2 linked regions of the Cricetulus griseus genome follow. The protein of the gene in region 1 purifies or fractionates together with the protein of each later gene. This does not show direct contact. Links are inferred from orthologs where the notes say so. Each region holds a gene or a part of one and is shown on either strand. Other genes may lie near its edges.

The links. The genes of interacting proteins can lie anywhere in the genome.
Region 2: the proteins of Apob (region 1) and Vcp purify together in Homo sapiens (affinity purification with western blotting, with the first as the bait; 3 studies listed by BioGRID). This does not show direct contact. The link is inferred for Cricetulus griseus from reciprocal best matches to the Homo sapiens genes APOB and VCP.

Annotation. Positions count from the first base shown.
Region 1 is NC_048600.1:18,392,000-18,395,745, forward strand, and holds the start of Apob (apolipoprotein B-100), read left to right. Parts: upstream 1-1,031; coding exon 1,032-1,116; intron 1,117-1,463; coding exon 1,464-1,502; intron 1,503-2,474; coding exon 2,475-2,590; intron 2,591-3,746. UniProt on the Homo sapiens protein: Apolipoprotein B is a major protein constituent of chylomicrons (apo B-48), LDL (apo B-100) and VLDL (apo B-100). Apo B-100 functions as a recognition signal for the cellular binding and internalization of LDL particles by the apoB/E receptor.
Region 2 is NC_048595.1:100,537,089-100,540,834, forward strand, and holds the start of Vcp (transitional endoplasmic reticulum ATPase), read left to right. Parts: upstream 1-1,003; 5' UTR 1,004-1,268; coding exon 1,269-1,285; intron 1,286-3,746. UniProt on the Homo sapiens protein: Necessary for the fragmentation of Golgi stacks during mitosis and for their reassembly after mitosis. Involved in the formation of the transitional endoplasmic reticulum (tER).

The DNA.
Region 1 (3,746 bases):
GACCTCTGCATGCATGTACACACAGGTGCATGGACATCTACACATGGGTACCCATGAATCTGTATTTGTGTCCACACACGACATACTGTAGTGATAGATACTGACTTCTACAACTGTATTTCCAGGACTCCAGTCCCCTCAGTTCCGCTCCACTGTCCCTAGGCCACCACTTAGAACCACTCCTTCCCAAGTGCCCCACCATCTCCCAACACCCACAAGAATTAACATTCTCTACATCCTACCTTAATTTTTTACCTGCAGCTTCCTCTTTATGAGGTGTATCACCCCCAACTAGATTGGGGGTGCTGTGAGGGCACAGCCCAGCTCAGACATTCACCTCTCCAGGCCATCACAGTTCTATCCCACTTTCTATGACTGACACTGGGCCCTGGTCTCCTCCAGGGGCGCGGTCTTCACTGAGATTTATGGGAGACTTCCCAGGTTTTCCCCTTTCTCCTCCCTCCCCACAGCCACCTGTACTGGTTAAATTAGTCAGGACCGGGCTGCTTATTCAAGCCCAAAGTCCACCAAAAAGGGAAAGAATTTAAGAAGGAGCCCCCACCAAGACATTAAGAACAGTTTACTAAATGGCTCCATAGTCAGCACAGGAGTGGGGTCGTTGTCCCTATGGCTGGTTGTCTCCTGATGACAGCCAGGGAAGGCTTACAGGACAGTAAGCCCACCATCCACTGCCTGAGACCCCCTGAGAAAAGACCAGCTCTGAGAAAATCTCAGGTGGTAGTGGCTGAACCAGCAGTGAGACCCCATCAGACTCAGTCTTAGCCACCCAGATATAAGCTTGTGTGGAAAAGCAAACAAGCCCAGGCCATGCCCTTTGGACCTTTGGCAATTCTCCCTAAGCCAGAGCCTCCTATAAATGGAGCACTTTGCAGGTGACCGAGCATTCATCAGTGCCTGCAGTGGATCAAGGACCTGACTGGGTGTCGCCTCGGAAGAGCCTGCAGAACCAGCAGCGGGGCTAGGCCGTGGCCAGGCCAAAGCCAGGGAGCCACCGAACCCATCCATCGGCCATGGGCCCACAGAGCCCTGCACTGCGGCTTCCGCTGCTGCTGCTGCTGTTCCTGCTACTCTTCTTGGACACCAGCGTCTGGGCTCGTAAGTGAGGGAAGAAGGCTCGGTGAAAGCCAGGGTGGGGACCAGAGCCCTGAGTTGTGGCTTTAAACCATCAGTTGCATCCAGGAGTGGAAACTGGTGGCAGGGTGACCGCTAGATAGCTTGGGCCAGGTTAGAGGGAGGGCAGCCGCTGAGGTTCTAGGGAAGGGGTGGTGAGAACCAGAGCTAGCAGGGGGCTCCACCGGGCTCCAGGCGAGGACAGTGGATGGGAAAGTTAAAAGTCTCTGGATAGCCCTAGAATAATGAAGGCCTCCGAGGGTCCCTCCTGTCAACCCCTGGAACCCACTGGAAAATAAGGGAGAGCTCAAGGTTTCCTTTTTCTCTTACAGAAGATGAAGTCCTGGAAAACTTCAGTTTGAACTGTCCAAGTAAGGCATTTCTCCACAGCGCACACTGGGCGCATTCCACCCTGCCCTCCTCTGCAACTATTCCTAAGGGCCTCAGATTAGGGGGCACTGCTCTGAGCCCCGGAAGCGAAGGTTTTGAGTCTCTGTGAACCCAGTCTCCTCTTCCAAAGGATCCCGGCCCTTCTGTCCTATTCCAAGGCTCGGTCCCGAGGTGGGGTAGGGAAGAGACTGTGGGCCCTGTAAGGAGACATTACTGTGCTGTTTATCACTGACTAATCATTGATTCCGATTATGTGAGGAAATGGCGACTTTAACCTTTGTGCGGAACTCCAGACCCTCCACCCCTTCCTATTTACCTGACCCTCCAGGTCAGAGGATCAATCGTGCTGCAATACCCAGTGTTCTCGGGAAAGCGCCAGGGTTGGCCTCCCCTCTGATGGGGCAGCACCGCCATCTGGTGGTTATTTGGCAGTATTACATCCGAGTTCCTAGCCAAGTTATTTTTGTCATATCAACCACAAAATTCCTGCCAAGCACAATGGAAAGAAACTTGCAGAAGTTTCTTCTTGGAGGGTGTCTGAAAGTCAGATAGACGGCCCTAACAATTAATTTTGTCTCAGGAACTTCATAGTCATTTCATGATAGCGTCTTCACGCTGAGAAATGCTGAGCCCTATCCCTTTGATAAGTCAATTTTTCAAAGGGTCTTCCTACAGATTTTTGTAGCTCCATTAATTGATGCTTGGCGCCCTCCCTTCCATGTACTTTAGATGATCTAAGGAATCACAAATAATTTAATCATCAGACTCAGAAAACAAAACAGTGCTGATGTTAAATCTATAAAGACAAATTAAGCATAATGAAAAGTCAACCACAAGTACTTGAGTTCGGTCACCACTTTTACCCTATGCCACTGACCCTCTCTGGCCAGCAGTAGCTGCCTTAAGAAAGTCGCTTCAGCTTCGGGGCTGACATATTTTTCTCCTCACTTTAGAAGATGCAACCCGATTCAAGCACCTCCGGAAGTACGTATACAACTATGAGGCCGAGAGTTCCAGCGGCGTCCGGGGCACTGCTGACTCCAGAAGTGCCACCAAGATCAACTGTAAGGTATGGAGGACAAGGGTTGGAGGGACCTGCAGCTGGAACCTAGCCTTGTCCCACCAGGGGCCCTTTGTAGAACGTACTAGCAGTTCCCAGCCCTGGCTGGAACCTCAAACTACAATAAGTCACCTGAATGAGAAGGCTGCCACAGGAAAATTTTCTAGACAAATTATTCTCCCATTAGCTTCCAAAGTGTTATTGGAGGTCATGGTCTAGGAGGCCAACAGGATTGGCCTACAGATATGACCATGGGAGAGGCCCATTGAGGATATAAAAGGTGGTCATTGTACAAGATTGCGGAGCCAACAGCATTTGCGATGTCAAGCACAACATGGAGAAACATTTAAAAACACTTGGTTTGTTAAAATGAAATGTTGAGAGACTTGCTATATTGCTGTCTGTGCCAGTAAAGTATATCCAAGGGGTGCTCCTGGGGTCTGTTGGGGAGGAGAAGCCCATTTTGCTGAGTTGCCCTTTTCCGTCTTGGGCCACAGTACTGGTCTTATACAAACACAGTGGGCATTAGCCACAGGTGGCCATTAAAGGAAATAAAATTTAAAATTCAATTCTTATTCTCATTAGCCATATTTCAGTATAGCCAACATCCAACTGTGGCTCATGGTACCACTTTAGACAAGAGACAGAAGAGAGAGAGAGGAGAGAAAGAGAGAGAGAGAGAGAGAGAGAGAGAGAGAGAGAGAGAGAGAGAGAGAGAGAGAGAGAAAGAGAAAGAGAGAGAGAGAGTGCTTCACCACCATGCTGGAATGTTCTTTGAATAGAACATTCAGAAAGCAACCATGGACCAGTTTTGGTTCTGCCCAGGTTTGAAGCTTTCAGCAGACACTTATCGGTGGAGTTTGGGGAAATGATGTCGGGAAAAGATTTGTTTTTCCCACTTGCTATTTTTTGTTTATGTATTAGCTGGCTTCATTTTGTTTTCTTCACTCTTATTCCACTATGCATTTCTTCTACAAAATCATCCCAAATTCTTTATGAGTAAAGTGGGTTCACTTAAAACCAATACAAGGGCCTTCGCCTTCCCATGCATAGGGGCAAACATAGACTTCTTAACTCAGGAGGACGAAAGATAGGCCTAGGCATGGGGATGCATGAGATGTGTTTAGAACATGTGATACTGGGGACTCCATGGCCATGTTCTCAA
Region 2 (3,746 bases), on another chromosome or scaffold:
GTTCTGCTGACTCAGAACTAGGGCCCAGGGAAAGGGTGACTAGGTTTTGGTAGACCTAGTCTAGCTGTGTAGCACTAGCTGGCTTCAAACTCAACCCTCCTGCTTTTAGTCTGTGGAGTACTGGCATCTAGGATGAACACCACCATACCCAGCTGTTTTTTTTTTTTTTTTTGTGTGTGTGGTTTTTTTAAAATTTTATTTACTTAGTTTTGATACAGGGTCTCACTATGTAGCCCTGACTGGCTGCAATTATTATTTTTTTTTAATAGACCAGCCTGATTTAAATCTCAAGAGGTCAGCCTGCCGCTGTCTTCGAAGTGTTGAAATTAAAAGCATGTGCCACTACACTGCTTTTAAAATTTATTTTTGAGATATTCCTTTGACGCTAGAATTATAGATCTGCACCACTATGCCCAACCCGGTTTTGTTTTTCAGAAAAGGTCCTGAATTGATCTCCAACTAATAATTCTCCTGCCTCTGCTTCCCAATTGCTAGGGTTACAGACCTAGACCATCCACCACGCCCTTCGTTGGAGCCAGTGTTTTAAAGGGTTATTGTGGTGGAATAAGAGGATCGCCAGGATTGGCGAGAAATCGACTACGTGGGTTGCCATTACAACCCGACTAAACTAATAAGGGTTCAAGCCATTGTGTTAGGTTCTTCCAGCAGCTTATAAACTAAGGAGCCAATCAGCTGGAGCCAAGTAGGAGAGGCCTCCTCGGAGGCATTAAAGGCTCTCCTTTTACCAGACAATCTGGCCTATTCCTTTTGCTGATTGGTCAAGAATCCCAATCCGTCGAGGAAGCGTAGTGCTGCGGCCAATTGACGTGGCGTTACTAGGCGTGTTGCAGCCTTGAGGTGGGGCCAGGCCATAAACGAATTTTCTGATTGGTTGTGGTCCGCGGGTTGCTGGGGAGAGGCACGGAGAGGCGGGCACGAGTCCCAAGGCAGGCTCTGATTGGTTGAGGTGAGAGCAGCTTTCCTTCCGATGATTCGGCTCTTCTCGGCTCAGTCTCAGCGAAGCGTTTGCTGCCGTCGTTTGATTAGTCGCTGCCGCTGACCCCCTCGCGGATCAGGAGCTAGCGTCTCCCGCCCGCCTGCCGCCCCGGTGCCGCTGGGAGGAAGCGAGAGGGAGGCTGCCTGAGGGTTTGTCACCGCTGTTGATCCACCGCCTGAGTGAGTCAAGCCCGGGCCTAGCCGGTCGCCTGCCATTCTCATAGCCGTTACCCTCAGGCCGCCACAGCCGCCGACCGGGACAGGCGCGCGCCATGGCCTCTGGAGCCGAGTAAGTGTATGCGCGCAGGGCCGCCGCCCGCCGCGCCCGCCCGCCGGCTGGGCGGAGGCGCGCACGCGTGGGACTCGCCGCGCTGGGTAGGCCCGGTAGGGCCGCGTCTGAGGAGAGTCTAGGCCGGGAGGAGAGGGACGGAAGGAGAGGAAAGGGGCGAGTGAGGGCCTCGGGCCGGGCTGTGCACCCGCGCGCCCCCTAGGTCGGGCCCGCGCTGGGCCCGGGTCTGAGCCTGGGCAAGATGGTGCTGTGTCATGCAGGCCCCGGCTGGCCTGACGAGCTCCCTCGGCAAGGCGGCCCCGGCCTACTTAGGCCTTAGGGTTCACACTGCCGGCACGGAGCTCTGTGGCTCTGGGATGCCCTCCGGCCACTTCACCGACCACACGCGGAAGACCCTAAGCCCGCGAAGAGAAAACACTGCAAGCCGGAGGCCTCGACTGGGCCCAGTGGGCGTGGACTTTGGGCCACGTGAAGGCCTCAGGAGCCCTGAGACTCAGGGGAAGGCCGGGCCGAGCAACCTGGGGGAAGCCAGGTCGGCCTTGGTGGAGCCCGTACGGCCTTGCCTGAGGTTGGCATCTTTTGCATCCTGGGTAGTGAAGGGCCTGTTAGGTCGTGCTTTTCTCAGATGGCAATTTTTCACCATGTTAGGCCTGTTGTAAATACCAGGAAGCTTTACCTATTATTTTTATTATTTTATTATTTTTGCTATGTTCAGGGGGTGGTTAGAAAACTGTTTTTCTATTTTAACGTGCTGAAGTTAGAATCTGAGTTTGTTTTGTTTTTGCTTTCTGTGTTTTGACTTTCAGAGATTGCAGGTTAGAGTTGTTTTAACTTTTAAATAACTCTTAAATATGCACACTTATCCAAGCAGCAACGATCAGAGATTGTCTGGGCTTTAGGATTTTAGGGCCCCAACTTTTAAGGAAAGCATCAAATAAAACCTAGTCATTTCAGCCCATTCAGTTGAGAAACTAGAGTTTACCATACTGAAAACAAAACAAAAAGCAGCAAGCCTAGGAAACTATACAAATCTTCTGTCGATGTTTTGAGGTGATTAGGTGTTTTTAAGTTTCATTTCCTTGGAATGAAGTATTCACTCAGTTGCTTAGTTAAAAGTACTAATATTTTAAATAGCCAGGGTGTGTTGGGTGGTGCACATCTTTAATCCCAGCACTTAAAGGCAGAAAGTTCTAGGCTATCCTGGTCTTTACAATGGGAGTTCCTGGGCTACATAGACCTTGCCTCAAAAAACAACAAAATATACTTTAAAAGTATTCTGTGGTATTTTACCTTTGATCTCTCTCTCTCTCTCTCTCTCTCTCTTTCTTTCTTTCTGGTTTTTTTGAGACAGGGTTTCTCTGTGTAGCCCTGGTGGTTTTGGAACTCACTCTTTAGACCAGGCTGGCCTAGAACTCTGAGATCCATCTGTCTCTGCCTCCCAAGTGCTGGGATTATAGTTGTGCTCTGCCACTGCCCAGTGTAGACCAGATTGGCCTCAAACTCAGCCATGTAGTCAAGGCTGTTTTTGAATTCCTGGTGTTTCTGTCCCCTGTCCCCAAAGTAATGGGATTATAGGAAAATCACTGTATGCCCCAGAAACCAGAACATTTTATTTATTTATTTATTTATTTATTTATTTATTGGTTTTTTGAGACAGGGTTTCTCTGTGTAGCTTTGGAGCCTATCCTGGCACTCGCTCTGGAGACCAGGCTGGTCTCTAACTCACAGAGATCCGCCTGCCTCTGCCTCCCAGTGCTGGGATTAAAGCATGTGCCACCAACGCCCAGCTCAGAACATTTTATTTTTAAGACTGACTAAAATCCTCAAGATGAACTGGATGCTGCAACAGCTGCCCTCTTGGGTTTAGGTGTTGTCCCTTCACGGAATCCCTGTCTGAATATTCGATTGACAACTTTTAGGTGCTTCATTCGCCCACTGAGGCCAAAGAGACTGGAAGATCCTTTTTTTTTTTTTTAAATTAAAATTTCTGAAATCTGGCATCATAGGTGGTTTCTACCTTTAGGTTCTCACCTGAACTTTCCCAAGTTCCCTTGTGTGGTCTTTGAATTCTGGAAAGGACCTGAGTCATGCACAGATAGATTTTCGTAAAGAACATTTAGAAGCTGCAGTTGCTTTCAGCTCTGTTAGAGGTTACCAGCTCTAATCTCTATGGGTAGCTGAATTATAGGTCTTTTAACAGCCATACCACTCATCTCTAGAGCAAGGGTCTGGACTCATAGTCACATTGGAGGTTGTCCTGAAATCAATCAATCTCTCTCTCTCTCTCTCTCTCTCTCTCTCTTTCTTTTCCCAGACAGGTCCAGACAGGGTTTCTCTGTATGACAGTCTGGCTGTCCTGGTACTTTATAGACTAGGCTAGCCAATGCCAAGTGCTGGGATTAAAGGTGTTCATCACCATGCCCCACTTCTAAAGTGAAGTTTTGAGATTAAAATACAAAAT